Linked DNA regions of Canis lupus familiaris. Each later gene encodes a partner of the first gene's protein in a complex. Links are inferred from orthologs where the notes say so. Each region holds a gene or a part of one and is shown in the gene's direction. Other genes may lie near its edges.

What was found.
Region 2: the proteins of SPAG9 (region 1) and ARF6 are in contact, whole or in part, in a crystal structure (PDB 2W83), measured with the Homo sapiens proteins. The link is inferred for Canis lupus familiaris from reciprocal best matches to the Homo sapiens genes SPAG9 and ARF6. Residues at the interface, in NP_001124000.1 of Homo sapiens: Lys431, Asn432, Ile435, Val438, Asp439, Thr442, Cys443, Asp446, Val447, Gln449; in NP_001654.1 of Homo sapiens: Glu13, Arg15, Lys34, Phe47, Val49, Glu50, Thr51, Thr53, Lys58, Asn60, Trp62, His76, Tyr77, Thr79.

What each region holds. Positions count from the first base shown.
Region 1 is NC_049230.1:26,912,774-26,917,227, reverse strand, and holds the start of SPAG9 (C-Jun-amino-terminal kinase-interacting protein 4), read left to right. Parts: upstream 1-1,353; 5' UTR 1,354-1,362; coding exon 1,363-1,665; intron 1,666-4,454. UniProt on the Homo sapiens protein: The JNK-interacting protein (JIP) group of scaffold proteins selectively mediates JNK signaling by aggregating specific components of the MAPK cascade to form a functional JNK signaling module.
Region 2 is NC_049229.1:26,667,761-26,672,316, forward strand, and holds the start of ARF6 (ADP-ribosylation factor 6), read left to right. Parts: upstream 1-1,675; 5' UTR 1,676-1,837; exon of another isoform or gene 1,838-1,937; 5' UTR 1,938-2,423; coding exon 2,424-2,951; 3' UTR 2,952-4,556. Other genes in the region: uncharacterized protein LOC119876490, read right to left, coding at 1,028-1,639. UniProt on the Homo sapiens protein: GTP-binding protein involved in protein trafficking that regulates endocytic recycling and cytoskeleton remodeling. GTP-bound form plays an important role in the transport of multiple palmitoylated proteins form the Golgi to the plasma membrane.

The sequences.
Region 1 (4,454 bases):
GGTAGAAAGAACTCGAACTTGTAAACAGGTCAAGGGTATTTGATCCTGGGAATGGCCTATTGCCCCCACTAGACTCCCATTTATCCAAGTCCTGCCTTTTCTTCCCTCTTCTTAGGAGAAACCGGCCTCAACACGCCTCGGGTCACCTGCGGGGTTTCTGGGAGCGTCTCTCGCCCCATCTCTAGAGGTTAAAGGAGAAGCCCGGAAAGCCATCCTTGACTCAGGCCGCCTGAGGCTTGGGCGTTGTGTCATTCCCCACACGTGACGCTCTCCCGGGCGGGCGGCGGAGGCCTCGCGGATCTTGGGACTTACTCACCCCAGAGACTCCACCCCTTCCCTCCTGGACTCCTCGGCCCCTCACTTCCCCGCGCCGCCCTCCTCCAGACTAGAGGGGCGTCGGGTGTCTGGAGCCCGGAAATGCCACCGTCCCAGGTGGCCCGGGGCAGAGGGGCTCAGTGTCTGGGGTGGGGACGTGCCAGATGCGGCGTCATGTTACCCTTGTCCGGAATGCTTCGCACTTCCTCTGACTTACGGGGCCACCCTTACTCCCGCCGTCCCCGCTCAGTGCCCTGGAGACCCAGCCGCATCACTCAGGGACTTCCCGTCTTGGTTACGGTCGCTGTAACCCTCCCCCTGTGTGTGTCCCACTCTTCTCCGAGCCCGCCCGAGCTTCCTAATCTGGATGGTCTGAGCCCCGGACCGGCCTCCTCCTCGTTCTGGCTGCGTGACCTTGAGTGAACCACAACTTTCCTGGGCCTACTTTCCCCTTGTCCGTGCGACGGCGACGAGACCTCCACGACACCACGCCTGTCGTGAGGAACAAATGAGAAAGCCCTTTGTGAGCTGCGAAAGGCAACAGAAATGTTAGCTTTGTGGGTCCCGGGCGGCCGGTCCCTCTTCCAGGACCCCTCCCTTTCCTCGGGGACCCGCCCTGCGAGTCCGCCGGGCGCTGACAGTTCTCGCCACCCGCCTCCAGCCGCCCTTCCCATTGGCGAACGCGCCCGCCGCGCGGCGCCCAGTGCTGACGCCACGGCGCCCCCTCCGCCGGCGCACGGTGACGCACGGCCCCGCCCCCCGGCCGCGCCTGGCCTCCCGCGGGGCCCCGCCCACCGGGCCGACGCGGCGCGGGTCCCGCCCCGCGGGTGACGTGTGGCGCGCGCGGCCCGGCCGCCCCGGCAGTTGGTGCAGCAGCCGTTGGGCTGAGTGCGCTCACCCCACCCCTCCCCTCCTCCGGCCCGGACCCCCCACCCCGCCGGGCGCAGCCCCAGCTCCGGCCCCAGCCGGGCCCGTCCCGTGCGGGCCCGTGCCGCCCCCTCAGCCGGCGACGCCCCGGGCCGCCCGCCCGCCCGCCCGCCCGCCACCATGGAGCTGGAGGACGGTGTGGTGTACCAGGAGGAGCCCGGCGGCTCCGGGGCCGTGATGTCGGAGCGGGTGTCCGGCCTGGCCGGCTCCATCTACCGCGAGTTCGAGCGGCTCATCGGGCGCTACGACGAGGAGGTGGTCAAGGAGCTGATGCCGCTGGTGGTGGCCGTGCTGGAGAACCTGGACTCGGTGTTCGCGCAGGACCAGGAGCACCAGGTGGAGCTGGAGCTGCTGCGGGACGACAACGAGCAGCTCATCACCCAGTACGAGCGGGAGAAGGCGCTGCGCAAGCACGCCGAGGAGGTGAGGGCCGGCCGCCGGGCAGCGCGGGGGCCGGGGGTCGCGGCCCGGCCGAGGAGGGGGCGCGCCGGGCCTCCCGGGGGGCGGGCCTGTGGCCGGAGGTCGCCGGGACCCCCCGGCCGGCGTCGGGAGCCGCGGCAGGCTAGTGGGTGTCCGGGACTAGGGAGGGAGACGAGGAGGCAAGGCCCGGGGCGGGAGCCACAGCTTGGCCTGAGGGCACCTGAGATCGGCTGGGGGCGGAGACTTCGGGGTGGCCTGTAGCCGCCTGTAGTTCAGGGAAGTTTCCGACCACCGTGGGATAGTCAGGCGGCGGTTCAAACTTTTACCATGGTGAGTGTGTGTGTGTGTGTGTGTGTGTGTGTTGGGGGGGGCATTTAAACACTTCTGTCCTGGGTATGTAACTTCCGCTGGTTCCAGTACCTTTCTAGGGGATTGCTGCTTTGGGAAGTTAGACATCTCCCTCTTTCGGTCAGTTTCTTCCTGACGTCTTAACCCTGGAGAGAAAGAGGTTTTGTTTTATGTGTTATGGGCCTTGGCTGACACTTTGTCAGCACTGAGATGTTGTAGAGCAACAGTCTTGTCAGTAGAGCGTACAGTTTTGTTTTATTGACATCTCACACCAAAGCGTTCCCCCGTGTCAGGTGGTCACCTTGGACAGTTCCCCTGACGAACCCTCTGTTTATTTATGAAGAGGGCTGGGGGGCGGGGCGGGTTGAGGAGGTGTAGGTGACTGACTGGTGGCAGCCTTTTTTTAGGACTGCAGTTTACAGGTGTCTTTAACCCTCGCACCTCGGCAGTGACCTCGGAACCCTCGCCTCGGGTCCGTGAGCCTTTTGGAGCTCTAGAGTGCAAGTGATAGGCCTTGGACTTCTTGAGACAGTCCAGGATTTAAGCTTTCAGGGTGTGTTGGCATTTATGTCTACGGAATTTACCTAATTCAGGCGAAGTGTTCATCTTTGTTTTCTGAGCATCTAATCTAATACACCGGGCTAAATACATGGTGATTGAAGGAAACTAAATACTGAATTATTGAACCAGCAACATGTTCTCTTTGAAAAATGCTTGGGGCAAAAAGGCATTAGGATATGAGATTTATTTAGCAGCTCATTTCCTAACCCTGAATACTATCCCCACTTAGACTTCTGTTTTGTCACATATACCTTTGTACCAGGTCACATAGTTCTCTTTTTCTTAAGCTTGACTATAGTGATGATTTCTAGTTCTGATTTTGTGATCCATTTGTCTCAAAGGAATGCCATTGCATTTGCCAAACAAAATTGACTTTGTGTCAAGAGTATTTCCAAGTATATAGAGAGGGAGGGATTGAAAAAAAATCTGAAGATGGGATTGCAATGTCCAGTAGCTTATTAGCACTGTTTATAGAACAGAGGTCGTGTACTACTTCTGAGGTGGCGTGCTGTATCTTCATCCTCATACAGGCTATTATCTGACCAATGTGTGGATGTACTAGGAAGAGACATGTATACACAGACGAGGAGCAGGCCCAGCATGACCTATCACCTTGGATAAAAGAAATGCTCCCTCCAACTTTAAACTCCTGTAGGGACATGTGAACATGGCAAAAGGCCAGGGTCACACATGCCAAGAAAAATATCTGCTTACAGGTTGCAGAATCAGGAAATAAAACTAACTGCTACGTACTGGATTGTATATTAATTTCTTAAGTAAATAAGTGACTTTTTTTTTGGTTATTTATACTTTTTCAAATACGTCTGTAAATTCTGTGTTATGAGACCTTTGGGCAAAGAGCCATGACTTGAGAATAGAGAAAATTGATGAAATGATAGATGAGCCAATTCCCAGACCCCAAACATACAACCACCTTGTTATCACTTTTTGTGTAAGATGATAAGTCAAGTTTTACCCAGTTTCTGGAAATTCAGTCTTTCTTAAGCCAATATGCAGAAGTGAATTCTGTGTTTAATTTTCTGAGCGCTTCATTTGTGGCCTTTAATATGGAGCCTAAGAGTCTGCTATTGTAGCAAAAGTGCCTCAGAGGAAGGGAGGAAGGTTGGTTCGAATTCCTGCAAGCAAGACATTATAGCAACTCACACCCCCTAAAATATTCTCACCGTTTTATATACCCTCCTAGATTTCCACAAAGGTGCTCAGAATTAACTTACACTTTCTGGTGATGGACAATTTCCAGGCTTTCAAGTACTTTTGCTGTAAATCCCTCCCTCCCTCCCTCCCTCCCTCCCTCCCTCCCCTCCCTCCCTCCCTCCCTCCCTCCCTCCCTTCCTTCCTTCCTTCCTTCCTTCCTTCCTTCCTTCCTTCCTTCCTTCCTTCCTTCCTTCTTCTCACACAGTTCCATGTATTCATGAGAGACACACAGAGAGGCAGAGACAGTCAGAGGGAGAAGCAGGATCTCTGTGGGGAGCCTGATGCGGGAGTGATCCCAGGATCCCTGGGATTATGACCTGAGCCAAACTCAACCACTGAGCCACCCAGATGCCCCAAGGAATTGGAAATTTCATCTTTATTCTAATGATATTGCTTAATTTGAATTCTTTGTCTTTTTCTTTGCTTTTATTTAAGTTTGCTTGGTGTGGAGTTAGCCTATTTTTGTGAATCTTTAAAAACAACCTAAAGGAAGGCTGCTTTTAGATAGATTATGATCAGTTTCAGGGCAAATGGGTTGGCTGGGTGGTTCAGTGGGTTAAACCTCTGCCTTCACCTCAGGTTATAATCTCAGGATCCTAGGATCTACCCCCACATTGGGCTCCCTGCTCAGCTGGGAGTCTGCTTCTCCCCTCTTACTCCCTCTGTGC
Region 2 (4,556 bases), on another chromosome or scaffold:
GTAAAATGTTAATGCTCAAAATTACTTCATATGATTGCTGTGAGGATTAAAAATAGATTTAAAATATTTAGTACAGTGTTTGCCATTACAAACAACAAATGGTGACTATTTTTTTTATGAGTGATATTATCCTTCGTCTGATTTTACAGATAAAGAAAATGAAGATTAGGAAGGTTGAGGCCTAAGGATTCACAGCCATAAAACGGACAGGCAACACTTTGAACCCTAATCTTCTCACTCCAAAATCCTTCCTTCAGTTTTATGACAGTGGAAAGTAAGATGGATCAAGGCAGATGGAAAGTAAACTTGGATCAGTCAGAATATTAACAACTCCAGTAAGTTTATTTCAGCTGAAGCTTATAAGGTTATCACCTGACCCATCTACCATTATCAAATATTCTTATATTATGAAACAAGTATGTTATCATATGCTTCTATAGCATCTTCCTTAAAAAATAACAAACCCTATTTCCTGTTTTTCCTCCCCTTGGTTCCTTTATTTTAGGCTTCGCCTTACTTTAAGTCTAACTTGATCTCTAACTATTTGCTACAAAAAAGTTTCCGAAAGTCTTCCACAAACATTTTGTTATTTACTCTGAAACGGAGTACACAGAGCAAGGTCGGCACTACACTCGGTTTACACATGAGATAACAAACTTAGCAAGGTTAAATGCCTTAGATCCAGGTCACAAAAGTAGTCAGGCTTTCTGACTCTAAACCCTAGTGCTAAGATTATTATTGTCTGGGATTTTTAAAAAAATACTTTATTTATTTGTTCGTTCGAGAGAGAGAGAAAGAGAGAGAGAGAGAGAGAGAGAGGCAGAGACCCAGGCAGAGGGAGAAGCAGGCTCCACGCAGGGAGCGCAATGCGGGACTCGATCCCGGGTCTCCAGGGTCACGCCCTGGGCTGAAGGCAGGCGCTAAAGCGCTGGGCCGCCCAGGGATCCCCTCGTCTAGGATTCTTAAAGAAAAGCTAGGTGGTTAAGTTACTGCTCAACACACTAACTTAAGTATGAAAAGTTATCACCTTAAAAAGTTGAAAACGCAGCAAGGGACTGGAACTCTGGTTAACACTGTCATTTTTAAGTAACAGGGTCTGGTCCCGAAGAGATGTGTAAGACAGGGCTCGAACACCGAAAAGCGGGGTTTCCTGGCAAACCCAAGCCTGGTAGAAGCGCCGCACTGCTTGGCCGACTCCACACCAAACGCGGGCCTCCCACGTGTCTTTCAGGAAATGCACAGAACACGCGGGATGAGGGAGGCCAAGGACGGGCTGGGAGACGTACAAACAGCATATAGGGCTTTCCCGGGTGACTGAGGACGCGCGGAGGCTGGGGCGGGCCCAAGGGAACTCGCTGAGCACCTGGCGGGCACCGACGTCCGGAAGCAGCCTGGGGGAGGCTTTCACCGCGGGAGAGGGCTGGCCGCGGGCCCCGCCCTCGGGAGCTCCCCAGTGGATTTGCCTGCTCTGGTTCGAGAGGGCTGGGGGAGGCGAGAGCGCGCCACAGGGACGCAGAAAGTCCGCGTACAGCGCCAGGCGGGCACGGGTCAGAGTCCGAGTTTCGCGGGTCTGGGGCCTGACCGCAGCCGCGAGGCCTCCAGGCCGCCGTAGCCCCGCCCCCTCGCGCGTGGCGCCCATGACGCTGGGCGCGCGGGCCGCGCTCCTTACAGAGCTCGCTCTCACCGAACGGTCGGCCTTGCTGCGCCTGCGTGATCGGGAGGGGAAGTGAGGCGGTTTCTTCGGCGCCTTTTCCGGCGGCGGCGGCGGCGGCAGCGGCAGAGCTGGGAGGAGGCGGTGGAGGCCAGAGGGAGCCCGCGCTCAGGGCGGCGGCTTGAGGTAACCTCGCGAACTGAGCTGGAAGGACGAGTCACCTGGGCCTCCGCTCCCTTCTGGCCTGCCGGCAGTAACTCCCTTCTTCCTCTCTGTGTCTCTGCAGGCGGCGCACCGGATCCCGGCGAGGATCAATGACCTGACGAGGCGCCGGAGCCGCGCTGACTCTCGGGTGGCCTGGGTCGGTGGTGAGCCCGGTGCTCGTGGACCGGCGGGTGGGCCGGAGGGCTTCGACCTCCCGCGGCCGAGTGAAGAGAAGGCGGAGGAGCGGGAACCGCGGCGGCGCTAGCGCGGCGCTTGCGGGGGGAAGGGCAGTTCCGGGCCGGGCCGCGCCTCAGCAGGGCGGCGGCTCTCCCGGCGCAGACTCAGGGCCCCGGCGGCGGCGGCGGCTGGAGGAATCAAGTTGTGCGGTCGGTGATGCCCGAGTGAGTGGCGAGCCTGGGCCTCTGCCCCGAGGAGGCAACTCCCACGCAGGCCGCACGGGCGCCCTCGCGGCCGGGAGGCTTCGTTTCGGTTTCGCGGCGGCTGCGGCGTAGTTGGCTGAGGGGACCCGGGACACCTGAATGCCCCCGGCCCCGGCTCCTCCGACGCGATGGGGAAGGTGCTATCCAAGATCTTCGGGAACAAGGAAATGCGGATCCTCATGTTGGGCCTGGACGCGGCCGGCAAGACAACAATCCTGTACAAGTTGAAGCTGGGCCAGTCGGTGACCACCATTCCCACAGTGGGTTTCAACGTGGAGACCGTGACTTACAAAAACGTCAAGTTCAACGTATGGGATGTGGGCGGCCAGGACAAGATCCGGCCGCTCTGGCGGCATTACTACACCGGGACCCAGGGTCTGATCTTCGTAGTGGACTGCGCCGACCGCGACCGCATCGACGAGGCCCGCCAGGAGCTGCACCGCATTATCAATGACCGGGAGATGAGGGACGCCATAATCCTCATCTTCGCCAACAAACAGGACCTGCCTGATGCCATGAAACCCCACGAGATCCAGGAGAAACTGGGCCTGACCCGGATTCGGGACAGGAACTGGTATGTGCAGCCCTCCTGTGCCACCTCAGGGGATGGACTCTATGAGGGGCTCACATGGTTAACCTCTAACTACAAATCCTAATGAGCATTCTCCACCTATCCCCCGGAAGGAGAGAAATCAGAAACCCATTCATAGGATTATCGCCACCATCACCTCTTTCAATTGCCACTTTCTCTTCTTTTGAATTTGAACTCTGGAGTTACTGTTCTACGGTTGGGGAGGGGGGGGGGGTTTAGGGGTTTCCTTTTTTGTTTCTCTTTCTCCCCCCCCCCCCCCTTTTTTTTTGCTTTGCATTAGGATGCTCCGATCTGACATTTGACATGACCACAAAGTGCTAGATGCTCTTACTGACTTCCAGCAAATGGGATGGGGGAAATATAGCAGTTTTTGGTAAAGTCCTTTATAATAATGGTTTGATTTTTTTATTTCGAGAGAATCTTTTTTGCAATGTATGCTTTTTTCCTTTTTGCCCAGTTTCCTTATCACTTGCTGTAGATGGCTTATTTTGCATTCATGCAGACTATGTTGCAAGTCTGTTTCATCTAGTAAACTGAAAATTATTGCTTAATCAAACTGCCGTTTGTCTTTTATATTTAAGGCCTTTACTCCTCCCTTATGAGTTTTACCTTTAACTTAGTAATTTCAAATGTGACCTTTTATATCTAAGACCAGTATAGTAAACTTAGCCTACAGTGGCAAATAATGAGTAATATCATTGTAATATGTTCCAGTTGCACATCAGTATGTTAAACAGGTAATGTAAGAAGTTCTTTGAAATGTCAGCTATTAAGTTCTGAAACATACATCATGCATGAGTAGGGCTAAAACGCAAGTTCCTTATTACATAGCTAACTTACACTGCATAAAAAGATGAAAGTGTAACCCGTCAACAGATTTTTTTTCACTGCAAAAGTTAGCAACTTTGCTGTGTTTCCCTCTTTTTTAACTTTAAAAGTAGACTCTTTCCAGAAAATGGAGCAATAATGGTGTAGGCCACACACAGATGAGATATCTGTAGATATTTTCAGTGACATTGGGGCAAAACTGGAATATATACTTTTACCACATTTCAAATGTCTAAGACCAATACTTTAAAAGTTACTAGAATGTTTACTTTGTTCATTAATAAAAGCGTTTAACAATTCAAATTATACACATTTTCTACCTAGTTGAAAGAATACACATTCCTGTTTTCACATTAGAGCAACTGATTAAGCTGAAGATAGAAGTTTTTTTATAATTGAGTGATCCACATCTCCATTAATTAGAACACTGGAAAAGATGTTTTATAAAAAAGGTATTTAATTCTGTTTGATTGTAGGATTAACTCATACAAATAGATCTCCTGTTGGTTCATTAATACACTATCTCCTTTAAGGAAGGAAATGTGATGAATGAATGATGTGTAGACTTGAGAAATGACAATTAAAGGGGAAGTAGGATGAAGAAAGAACCTACAGATGACAATGAATGTAAACTTATTTTTCTTCAAGGGTAAGCAGTGTGCTCACTGGTGATATCCAGATCCTAGCAAGATTACTTGCTTAGCTTGTTAGGACCCGTAACTAGCTTATCGAGACCACTATGATGATACCTTGAACCAAATGTTAATGCTTGATACAGAATTGTGAGCAGCATCTGGTTCTCATATAGCCTTAAGGATTAATTTTAGAGATCCTCAAGGAA